3 linked regions of the Danio rerio genome follow. The protein of the gene in region 1 interacts with the protein of each later gene in a biochemical or structural test. Links are inferred from orthologs where the notes say so. Each region holds a gene or a part of one and is shown on either strand. Other genes may lie near its edges.

Region 1 (4,102 bases):
ACCACTTTCCCCCCAGCTGCCTCCACCAGGACTTCCAGGAGACTACTACAAACCTACTGGGCCTCCACACAGGGGGCCACCTCCAGACTATCCTTTTAAAGGTATGCCCTCTCCACCCAAACAGCAACAGCACCATCAGCCTCAGCACCAGGAGCCTGGACACTTCCACCCAGACCACCGCGGTACAAGCCAACCAGCCAGGACTGACATTCCTCATGTCCGGTACCAGCCACCACCTGAGTACGGCTCTTTTCGGTGAGTGTGCCTTAAAGGCTAAGAAGTGGGCTGAATTTTGGGACTTTATGGGAACTGGTGCGATGCACCTTACAGCGCATATTACATTCCCTGGCATATCAGTTGTTAAAAAACTTCAGGTGATGAGTCTCAAAACAGCCCTTCCCTTAAATGCTGGGACATGTTGTCAGGAAACCTGTTATGGGAAAAGCAAGTTTTGCCTGTTTCCCTGAATTCATTCACTGTAGAGCAAGTGTGTGGCATATAGCAAAAGTATGCATATCAAATTCAAATAATCATCTACAACATGTCACAGCATGACAGTTTGTCCATTATTGTTGTAGAGAACCAGGAATGTTGACCTGTGAAAAATATTTTTGTGAACGGTTGGTATGCAGTACATAGTCGTTTCACAACAGTGACTGAATGTCTTGAAAGAAGCCGTTGGTTATGCAAGTTTAAATTTATTTTGTAGGTCACAAAGTTCTCTAGAATTTGTCTACTACTCTTGCAATCAATCAAGATGTGAGTATAATTCATTATTCTGCTCCTCAATAGGTCAAGTAAGGAGAGTTCAAGCCACTCTCAAAGGTCCGTCCATCACCACAGCCCTTCATCTTCGGTTACGTCTGGAGGCTCTCTCTCCCGTGCTCAGTCTTCCACTCTCAGCAGCATCTTGGCTGCTTCCCATGCGCTTCCACCAATGGGTCATTCGGGAGAGCCACCCTTCCCCATAGGTGCTCGAAGCTCACAGGGGCCTGGTTCTCACCAAGGTGATCCATACGGCCCAGGCCATCCTCCTCATCAACGGAGCCACGTGTTTCCACATGATCATTATGGGTCAGCTCCAAGGGGCCTCCACATGCTCCAGCACCAGTACCACCAACAGGGCCCCCAGCAGCAGCAGCAACAGAGTCCAGCACAACACTACTCACATCCACTCTCCATGCAGGGGGATCCTTATGCCATGCTTGCCCGTGCCCAGCAGATGGTGGATATGCTGTCTGAAGAAAACCGCTTGCTTAAGCAAGAGCTGGAGGTGTGTGGGGAGAAAGTGTCCAAACTACAAAAGGTATGACTGTCTTTGAAGTTTCTCATTACATTACCATTACACAATCAAATATTTAATTGGGGACCCTTGAGTAAGTGAGATAGAGAAAGACATGTTTAATGCTTGCTCAATTTAGGTCATAACCTGTACCACATCCACTTAAATGAAACCATTTCCATGTCAGTGCAAATGTAGGTCAGTTCAGGATAGGTCAGTGTTTTCAACTTTGTTCTTGGAGGCACAGCAACAGAAAACATTTTGGATGTGTTGGGTATCTGATTATTCTGTTTCTGGAGTCCTGTAGATTCTACTTACAAGCTGATGAGTTGAATCAGGTGTGTTTAATAACAAAGATGTTTAAAAGTGTTTGGTGTTTCTATGGAAAAAAGAGTTTATAAATATTATAATAAGCTCTCAGATGACCAAGGATCAACTCTGGCATGATAACCATCTAAACTTTTGATTCAACAAGCTTTGAAAAGATTTTTAGGTGACACATCAAGAGTGACATCAACATCAAGAGTGACACATCAAAAGTGGAAGGCAATGTTGCATGCTATGTTTTAGTTGTACAAAATCTGTTTTGTTGTTTCTGTGAGGCCTCAGCAATGTAATCTCTTTACAGATGGAGACTGAGATCCAGATGGTGTCAGAAGCTTACGAGAACTTGGCTAAATCATCCACAAAGAGGGAAGCTCTTGAGAAGACCATGAGAAATAAGCTGGAGATGGAGGTGCGCAGGGTGCACGACTTCAACAGGGACCTACGAGGTGAGAAACATAGCAATATATCGGAGTATTCTGAAAGTATTAGGAGGAGATTATTATGAAAGGAAGATTCATGAATTGTACTTTACCACTATACTACACCTTTTAGCAGTAAAATTGTCACTGATCTCAAAACATGTTTGTGTTGTTCTTGGCTTAAATTGCTCTACCAATTGTGGTTTTTATCCCCTGAGACCTTTTCTTGTAACATAAATATGAGATCTCAGTGACCCTTCATAGACAGTAATGGCCCAGAGACATTCAAAGCCCAGAAAATTCACCGGAAACATTGCCAAAACATTCAGAGTGACATTCTCAGTGGTTTAACTGTAATCATACAAGGACACTTGTATAAAAACTTTAAATATTACTTCACCTTAAGCTATTTGTTTAAATACCTTTACTCCCACATCAAATCAGTGTGCATGTTTAATACAGGCAGTGCTATGTGTTGCAGTTGGAGTCTGCAGAGCAACTAGGGATGCTCATTTTGGTTAATTTTGCCAACCAGAAACCGCTGCTTGTTAACTGAATATTAACCATTAACTAGTCAGATTAATATCAAATTATTATTTAATTTAAAACAAAATAATTAACGTGTCTATTTTGTTTCTGACACAATAAATATTGCATTTTAAAATACTGATTGATTTTAACATGTGAACATATTATCAACAGAACATTTTCACGCACCTGCAGTGTTTTCGCCAGTATAGAAACAAGAATAAGCTAAATAAAAAGAATAAAACAAATAGGTCTACCTATTTTTCACTTAAATTACAAATTTAGATTACAAAATGAAAACACTGACTGAATCCTTTTTAAAAACCAGCATCGGCTGTTTTTTTTGCCATGTTTTTTCTTCCAAGAAATAAAAATATCAGGCTACCTAAAAGCGCTCTATGGAAATGTGCATTTATATAATGCTCCGCTGTAATTCTTATATCACAAACCACTGTCTACATTTGTAATAGAAGTCATTATTTTAAAGATTATGTCTTGAGCGTCAGGTTTTACCTTAGAGCTTGTTTGCTTTTATATCCTCTCTTACTCACTGTTCATGTGCGTGCGCTGCGTGTAGTAAAAGTCAAGGACAAGGTGCATATGTTGACTTTTTGTGTGTATATATATATATATATATATATATATATATATATATATATATATATATATATATATATATATATATATATATATATATATGTATGTATGTATATATATATGTATGTATATATGTATGTATGTATATATATATGTATGTATATATATATGTATGTATATATATATATGTATATATATATGTATGTATATATATATGTATGTATATATATATATATATATGTATAGGGTTGTAACAATATACCGGTATGACGGTTTACCACGATTTGAACGTGCACGATTATCATACCATGAACAATTGCATATCAACGGTTTTAACCCTTAAAGACCGAGACAGCCGCCCGCGGCTAAAAATAAGTATTGCTCTTAAATGTTTAATAACTTTTGATCCGCTGATCCGATTCATACAATTCAAAGATTGGCATAAAGAAGAGAGTCTCAGCTTTCCAGTGCTGTATCACATAACATTCGCGGACTTTCAGAGGCTCCGGAATCAGTGCGGTTACGTCATCAACATTTGACAACGCTGATTTGACAAAGAAACGCTCGTCACTGTGTCTCCGGACAAATCAGACACGATACATTGATGCATTGTCCCTCCTCCATGCCCAGATTGGTTCAAACTCGCTATATCACAACCAATAAGCATAGGTTTCGCTTTTGTTTGTGGACCAAGCTTTTTGAACAACACGGAATGAGAGATAGGCATACATTTATGCGCGGCTAAATAAAACGCAAAAAAAAAAGTTTTGCATGAAATAATTCTCATACTAAGTACTTTTGCATGCACAGCAGCACAGAAACATGACAAAACAGTGACACAGCAAAGACGAACTGCTGCTCTTGCTGTTTTCAAAAGACACAAATGAAGGTGCAGCTGTTTGTCTGCATTGCAGACAACCATATCCAAATCCATATCGATAGACAACCA
Region 2 (4,102 bases), on another chromosome or scaffold:
TGTGGTGACCGGCTGATGACTTTGGAACAGAGAGCAACTCGACAACACCAGCGCTGCCTGGCGCATTCTTTGGTGGGCACCCCTAACTACATTGCCCCTGAGGTGCTTTTGCGCAAAGGTAAGAATATTCACATAGTCACTCGGAAGTACAAGGACATTACAAAGAATTGCTAGTGCCTATAGAACCTTTTTCTTTTTAATTGCTCCTTTTAATTAATTTTAATACACAGGATACACACAGCTGTGCGACTGGTGGAGTGTGGGAGTGATCCTGTTTGAGATGCTGGTTGGCCAACCACCCTTTCTTGCTCCAACCCCAACAGAGACGCAGCTTAAGGTAAGAGTTCTGTATGCATGTTTTTAGTTGATCCTGCTCCTGGAGGGCAAGTATCATACAGAGTTCCAACCAACCCCAACATACTTGGAAATTTCTAGTAATCCTGAAAACTTGAATAGGTGATTCAATTAGGCAAGACAGTGCCCATGCAGGAAAAAGGACTGCACATCTTTGTTTTCTTTAAATAATATTTTATAATATTTGAGGTTAAGAGTTTTGATGACAAGAAATAAACTTTTGTTGATGTCACTACCTCTACAGGTGATAAACTGGGAGAACACTTTGCAAGTGCCACCACAAGTAAAACTAAGCCCAGAGGCAGTCGATATTATTGGCCAGCTTTGCTGCTCTGCTGAAGAGCGTCTAGGAGGCAATGGGGCTGGAGAAATAAAGGCTCATCCTTTTTTTTCCGAGGTGGATTTCTCCAGCAATCTTCGGACACAACCTGCACCATATCGACCAAAAATTGCCCACCCCATGGATACATCCAACTTTGATCCTGTTGAAGAGGAGGGAGGCCCAGGCGCCTGGAGTGATAGTGGGGATAGCACCCGCACTTGGGACACCCTCTGTTCTCCTCACGGCAAACACCCTGAACATGCCTTCTATGAGTTTACTTTCCGAAGATTTTTTGATGATAATGGTTGTCCATTCCGTTATCCCAAACCCCTAGAGGCGACACAAAGCCTGTCCAGCAGTGACGGGGCCGGCAGCCTGAAGCCTGAGCTGGAGGAGGAAGAGGCCCATGAAGAGGAAGAGCAAGGGGAAGGGTGTGAGCCGGTTTATGTGTGAAAACGTTGGATTGGTTGTTCATGCTGCTCTGCCTTTACCCATGGAGGACCTCACCAGTTAACACGCTGCATCTTCTCTACTTCCTTTCAACACTATTTTTTCTTCAGGGTGTTGCCTGAAATGCTTGGAAGAACATCAGAAATTTAGTGCAGAAAGTTCCAAGTAAAATGTGTTTATTCCCATAAACCATTATGCAGTATCATTTAAAAATGACTGAAGCTCTGACCTGGGACCAAGGAAATACACAAGACCTGCAGCTGCATATGGACGTTGATGTGACTGATACTCTTCTATGAGAGCACAAAAACAGAGATGTGTAGCTGTTGGTCTGTGGTTTGACGTTTAAACCACTCTACTCATGGTTAGTGTGTTGTGTGTCAACCGTGTCCTATTCTTTTATTCCACTGGGAGAAAGAGTCCCAGTCTTACGTCATATGTTAACACATCCCTCACCTCTCTCAACCTGGTGATGCTAACATTCCAAACACCCGAGAGTTTATGGTGAAGGATTACAAGAGTGCTTGGCTTGGGATGGTAGCTCTGTGGTTTATTTTTAAAAGTTCATAATACCAAACTGAATTTTATAGCTATAAATCCATAAATGTGCTGTAAAACCTATTTTTTTCTGCGGTATTGAAGCCAGATTTGGAATTATATGATCTCAGTCTTTTTTTAAAGCGAGCAAACTTTGTTTTAGAGGATTTTGTGGCGCCACCAAGTGGTTCAGAGTGACATTGTCAAGTGTCTTCTTTTCGAAGATGTAAGTCCTATATTATGGACTGACAGTATTAGGTCACTTCTTCATGCAAAGTCTGTCCAAAAGACCATGCAGGATTTTGCAGTTAATAATTAATAATGACAATAAATTATTAATTAATTAATAAAATAGTCTTTTGTAAATATAATACAGTTATCCTTCATTTATGTTTCATGCCTAACGGTGCTCTCAGTCATGACACAATATTAAAATAAAATGTTTTGATGTACAGGCAGCACTTCATGGACATGGGATCTTAAAACTCCCATTATTACAATTATTAAAGGTTTTTAAAACATACTTCAATTGTCTAAACAACCGCCTGTTACTTGAGAGCTGAGGCTAAGCATAAGTATAGTCATTAAATACATAATGCCACAAAAAAACGGATATGATATGAAAATATCATTCACAATATGAAAATGTAAGAGGTAATTAACACTCTTAAATTGTGAATATTAAAAGGCCTAAATCCTGCTTAATGTTTGCTTACCAGTTGCATTGCAGTTTTAAAATTAGTTATTTTTGCTTAGTTGTGTTATATCAGTTGCTGTTTCATTCAGGTGGTATTTAAATTCAACAAGCATTTACCTTGCCTGGCTTGATTTAAATAGTTTCATTGTTTTAAGGCTTAATGATTTCGTTCCCAATAGCTGCTTACATTCATCAGCTGCTTGCGTGTGTATCTAACACTTGCAAGACACATCGTTTTGTTTTGAAGTGTGTTTTCTCAGACCGCTGCAGTTGGCTATCCGGAACAAATTATATAAATTAACTCCAAGAGCTGAGGCTACAGCTATATCCTTTTCTAGTTATGCAAAAAGATTATACGCCTTTCATCACAAGTAACTCTGTTTTTTTATCTCAGAAAATGTATCATATTTCCCACCTCATCTTAATTGCATTTAGTTTCATAAGAAGATCTTAAAAGTCAGACGGGTGGTTTTGTTGTGTGTGTTCTTGCTTATCCAGATCCACTGGAAATGATCTTGTCTGTCACTATCAGTGAACTTATTTTATTATACACACACACACACTCACAAATGTAATCAAACAATTGCAAGATGTTTTGTCATCAAGGCTGCTCACACAGCACAGTATTACAACAAGACAGTCTATGACTGAAATGTAAAAAATACTTTGAGGCAAAAACTTTAACGAAAATGGTGAAAGATAGTTACAAAAGAAAAATGTATCTGATGGTATAACTATGTGCAATACAGAAATACATTATATAGTTTTCTAAATACAACAAATAGCCTTTATAACTTCAAAACTGAATTATGCTATCTAAAAGTATATATTCTATTGATTTATATCTATTTTCAATATAGTTTCATGACCCAATGCTGCTTATTGTTATTAATATTACACTATATTATCATCAACCTTTCAATTATACTTTCTCTTTGTGTAAAAAGTGTGGTTTTGATTGTCAGTGTGATTGATCCGATGTAAGACGAACTGTGTGCCTTCTAATGAATGTGTGGGTGTGTTTACCACGTGCTGATCAGTATTTCTGGAAAGAATGGAAATGCCGTCATTTCTTGCACTCAGGCCGGTCCTGAACGTAAGAGGCGGCATTTGGATGATAGCTGGAGAAAGACGAAAAAAAGAGTGAATGATTGTCATTGAGACTCTGAAGGAGATGTATTTGGATGTCGTAGCATGGTGGATATGGAAACACATTGTATGTGATTGGTCAGTGATAAGGATCCCTAATAAGTCCATATAATAATGTTTAATCATTTGTAGTGAAGCTTGATTGAAGTCAGTCAAACTACCCTGTATGACGTCTGACTGGATGAGTTTTAAAGTAACAGCCAGTGATGATCCGCTTTTATATATTGCTCACTCCTAAAAGTCACATAAATTCCTAAAAATATATTCAATTCAGACTTGTACCTAAATTGTCATCATGTTTTTGGTTCAATCAGAGTAGAATGGAGTGTGACAGCAAGTGTTGCAGATGCTTTGCTTCCCTGTATTTGTCAGATTGGACCACTCAGTGAAAAGGCATGAGCTTTCTACGAATCTCTCACAGAGTCAGGTTTAGGGTTTGAATGTAATGCGTGTGTTGTGCTGAGGATGGATTCTTTGTTTTACTTTTGAAAATGTTGACTGACAATCTTTGACTGTGTTTGGAGCTGTGTGATGATGGAACTTTTTTCCTCTAATGTATGTTTTTGTATTTTAAGGAATGAATGGGTTGGGAC
Region 3 (4,102 bases), about 14 Mb from region 1:
ATTAGATTCAGCTTTATTGTCATAACAAATTTACAAGTACAAGGTAACAAAATTCAGTTTTGGCCTAACCAAGAGTGCCATAGCATCAAGTGCAGGATATAGGTTATAAAGTGCAATTATAGAAAAACTATGGTGATATTTACATATGGATGTACTATGAACATTATAAACAGATTGTATTAACTGTGAACAGAGATTTACAATAGATGAATTTATGTACAGGTTGCTATTAATAATCAGAAGTATGCAGATAGATAAAAAACATGTATACATGTATGTGCAGTGGATATGTACACTTCAAGATCAATTAGTACAACCAAGTGAAATATAGGCAAGAGGGAATAGTGACATTGAAATCTTGTAAAGCAAATTGAATTGTTGGTCTGTATTAAAAACTGAACGTAATTTACTAAATTAATCCACAATCCTAGAAAAACAGTACTAACCAAGTTCATGGCAGTCAAGTTTCGTGGTGTTGGTGCATACAGTTTCTATTACAGACTGACCTTTGATTTTCATAACACCTTGGTTTGACTTCAGGAGAAATTTATTTTGATGTTGTTTGGCCCCTAACATATTTGTTGACTTTTTAAATCCATCTAGGTTTTGGATCAAGAGGTTCCAAAGGACTCTCCGATAACATTTCACTTTCTTGCTAAATTCTTCCCAGAAAAAGTTGAGGACGAGCTCGTTCAGGAAATTACTCAGCACCTCTTCTTCTTACAAGTATGTGGGAGTTGTTCTTGTGAATTTGGCATGATTGCTCTCCATCATGGTCTTTTCCGCTGTACAGAAACCTCATTTGGGGGAATGAATAATCTTATTTTCTTCAGGCCAAATTCTTGAGATTAAAATCCCTTCTGTTTTTTTACAAAGGTTAAAAAGCAGATACTAGATGAGGAGATATTTTGTTCTCCAGAAGCCTCCGTTCTTTTAGCCTCATATGCTGTTCAAGCCAAGGTAGGTCTCCGTATCAGTGTTTTATGAAGGGACACACTCAATGTATATCGTTTTATTAAATATGACATTCTTTCTGCAGTACGGGGACTACGATCCAAACTTTCACAAACCAGGTTTCTTAGCTCAAGATGAACTCTTGCCCAAAAGAGTGAGTAATGGCTCTACTTGACTACTTGAAAATAAGCCAACATTTGCATTCTTTAAGATGGTTTATGTGATCTGTGTGCTTTATTGTGCAGGTGTTGATGCAGTATCAGATGACACCAGACATGTGGGAGGAGAAGATAACCGCTTGGTATGCTGAACACAGAAACATCACAAGGTAAAACTGTGCACGTCCTGCTGCTGTTTGTGTGTGTGTGTGTGTGTGTGTGTGTGTGTGTGTGTCTAAACCACCTTCCTCATGAAAGATGAACTACAATTGAGCTTTGTTTGTAGGGACGAGGCTGAGATGGAATATCTTAAAATAGCCCAGGATCTAGACATGTATGGAGTTAGCTACTTTTCGATTACAGTAAGTATTTTTTTATTTTTTAAAGTTGGCTTGAAATTGAATTTTCAGTAGTCCATTTTTCCATATAGTTATGAATAGGGATTTCCCTATTTTTTTTTGCCCCCGAGTCATTTGATTTTGAACATATAGCGATACTGAAACCCGATCCGATGCTTCTATAATACATTAAAAAAATAAAGATGAGTGAAGAAACAGATCCAGGATGTTTTTTTTATTTTTTATTTAATTCACCTTATTTTAACATTCAACAATTCTGTTAACAAACAGAGCACTTATGTGAGGTAGTTTGAACATTCATTCATTCATTCATTCATTCATTCATTCATTCATTCATTCATTCATTTTCTTGTCGGCTTAGTCCCTTTATTAATCCGGGGTCGCCACAGCGGAATGAACCGCCAGCTTATCCAGCAAGTTTTTACGCAGCGGATGCCCTTCCAGCTGCAACCCATCTATGGGAAAGTAGTTTGAACAATCAATTAATAAATAACATGAATTCTTCACCTTTGGACTTAAGTGCAACAGTAAATATAAAAACAATCACATGTAAAAAAAAAAAAAAAAATAGCACCTCAACTTAAAATACCCGGCAGATTTGTAAACAAAAAATAAATAAAAGTGCCAAAGTGTTTGCGAAATCAGTAATTTGCTTTTAGGAACTGCACTCTTAACTCTAACTGTCATCACAGTAGTAAGTTTCACAGAAGGAGATGAATGTTTTTTTAATGAAAACTAACATCTCTACCTTGTCAGGTTTGAGGCTGTCTCATCAACCTTTTAATACCTTCAGACTGCAGACATACCTGCCCTGTCCGTTTTAAGCAGCTTCTGTGTTCTAGTTTTCCGCCATTTTACCAGTAGCGTCTCTGCAACAAAGTGATGTCACACCGCACACGTTGCTGATCCGGAGGTAATGTCGGATTCCGATCGAGTCTGAATTTGCCTGATCAAGCCTGATTTCTAATCACGTGAACAGATTTGGAGATCCATTGTAATGAATGAACCAGAATTAAGTATATTAGGGATTACAACCATCTAATCACAATGTACATTTACATTACATTGTTTTAAAAATAACTCGCACTAGGTGAAATCGGTTAAGTTGTCAGCTTTATTTTTACAAATATAGATGTTATAAGGCTAAAAAACCCCATCACTACACACTTTATACACTTTTCTCGGACAAGCATAATATTTTCACACTTTTTTCTGTTGTTTAAACACTCAAAGTTCAAACCTTTGTAGAAAAATAAGTCTAGTATTGTAGAATAAAACCAAAGATCAAAACCATCTGATCTTCACTTATTTATTCCATAATGGTGCCCTGCCGTCACGTAACATCTACCTTTCTTTAGCATGTCCAGAAGTTTAACTTTTTGTGAAATGGTTAGCATCTTCCTCTGCTTTTTGAGTGCTACCACAAGTGCCTTTGATGGTGCAGAACGTTTCATTGATATTGTGGGGAGAAAGCTTGCATACTGTACAGCACTTCAGAAGCACACCTTTAGCGATCTGTACTGTACAGAAGACATGGCACGGAGAATGTTGATTGGCAACGGTCTACAGCCAGTCAGGCACTGTAGAAAAAAAACATGTGAAAAAATCTGCGAAACTGCGAGGTCGCAAAAAGTGAACCGCATTATAGTGAAGGACCACTAATATATATATTTAGATTTAATATTTATAATTGTTTAATATTTTCTTTATTTTTTACATTTTGATAATAGATATTGTCTAATTTGACCTTTTATGACATTGTGAAGCCATTTTTTTTCCACAACATGGTTGATTTCTGACTCTAATGTACAATTCAAACTGTCCCACCATGATGTTTCACAGCAAAATAAGAGGGACACAGAGCTTCTTCTTGGAGTTGATGCTCAGGGTCTTCACATTTACAACCCCAACAACAAGCTGAGCCCTAACAAATCCTTCCCCTGGAGTGGAATCCGAAACATCTCCTACAGCGAGAAAGAGGTTGAAAGATTACCTCTTTTTTTAAACACAAAATATGCAAATAATTTTACAGAACTCTCACAAAAATATTTAAACATTCTGTATTTGTCTATTCTCAGTTTACTATCAAACCACTGGACAAGAAAAAGGAAGTGTTTAAATTCTACTCATCCCAGCTTAGAGTTAACAAACTGGTGAGCTACTTCTATGAGTATTTGTGTAATAAAGTATATTCAAGTAGTTGCTCACATAAATTTTTTACTGTATATTTTAGATCTTACAGCTGTGTATTGGGAACCATGACCTGTTCATGAGGAGGAGGAAGGTGGATTCAATAGAAGTGCAGCAGATGAAGGCTCAGGCCAAAGAGGAGAAAGCTAGGAAGAAGGTAATTTTCTTCCATTCTACATATGTTAACCATAGTGGTGTTACTCCAAATTAATTCTTTTCTTTATGAATTTAATGTTTATGCAGATATACAATGAAATATAGTAAACATTTATTTGTTTAAACATTAAAATATAACTTATGCAGTAGGGCTGTTCAATTAATCATAATCGTGAAAAAAACGCAATATAAGCACATGGTATTTCTAAACCGTATTAGGCTGCGATTTTTATCTTTTTACTTTAAAATTTACTTCTTTTTATCCAGAAAATGTTCTTGTTTGCA

What was found.
Region 2: of the proteins of amot (region 1) and lats2, one has a biochemical effect on the other in vitro, tested with the Homo sapiens proteins (3 studies listed by BioGRID). The link is inferred for Danio rerio from reciprocal best matches to the Homo sapiens genes AMOT and LATS2.
Region 3: the proteins of amot (region 1) and nf2b form a complex in vitro, tested with the Homo sapiens proteins (2 studies listed by BioGRID and IntAct). The link is inferred for Danio rerio from reciprocal best matches to the Homo sapiens genes AMOT and NF2.

The regions. Positions count from the first base shown.
Region 1 is NC_133196.1:41,177,219-41,181,320, forward strand, and holds part of amot (angiomotin), read left to right. Parts: coding exon 1-255; intron 256-792; coding exon 793-1,306; intron 1,307-1,910; coding exon 1,911-2,055; intron 2,056-4,102.
Region 2 is NC_133184.1:22,913,595-22,917,696, forward strand, and holds part of lats2 (serine/threonine-protein kinase LATS2), read left to right. Parts: coding exon 1-118; intron 119-230; coding exon 231-337; intron 338-598; coding exon 599-1,129; 3' UTR 1,130-4,102. UniProt on the Homo sapiens protein: Negative regulator of YAP1 in the Hippo signaling pathway that plays a pivotal role in organ size control and tumor suppression by restricting proliferation and promoting apoptosis.
Region 3 is NC_133196.1:27,251,835-27,255,936, forward strand, and holds part of nf2b (NF2, moesin-ezrin-radixin like (MERLIN) tumor suppressor b), read left to right. Parts: intron 1-603; coding exon 604-726; intron 727-876; coding exon 877-960; intron 961-1,039; coding exon 1,040-1,108; intron 1,109-1,199; coding exon 1,200-1,282; intron 1,283-1,398; coding exon 1,399-1,474; intron 1,475-3,313; coding exon 3,314-3,451; intron 3,452-3,549; coding exon 3,550-3,624; intron 3,625-3,704; coding exon 3,705-3,818; intron 3,819-4,102. UniProt on the Homo sapiens protein: Probable regulator of the Hippo/SWH (Sav/Wts/Hpo) signaling pathway, a signaling pathway that plays a pivotal role in tumor suppression by restricting proliferation and promoting apoptosis.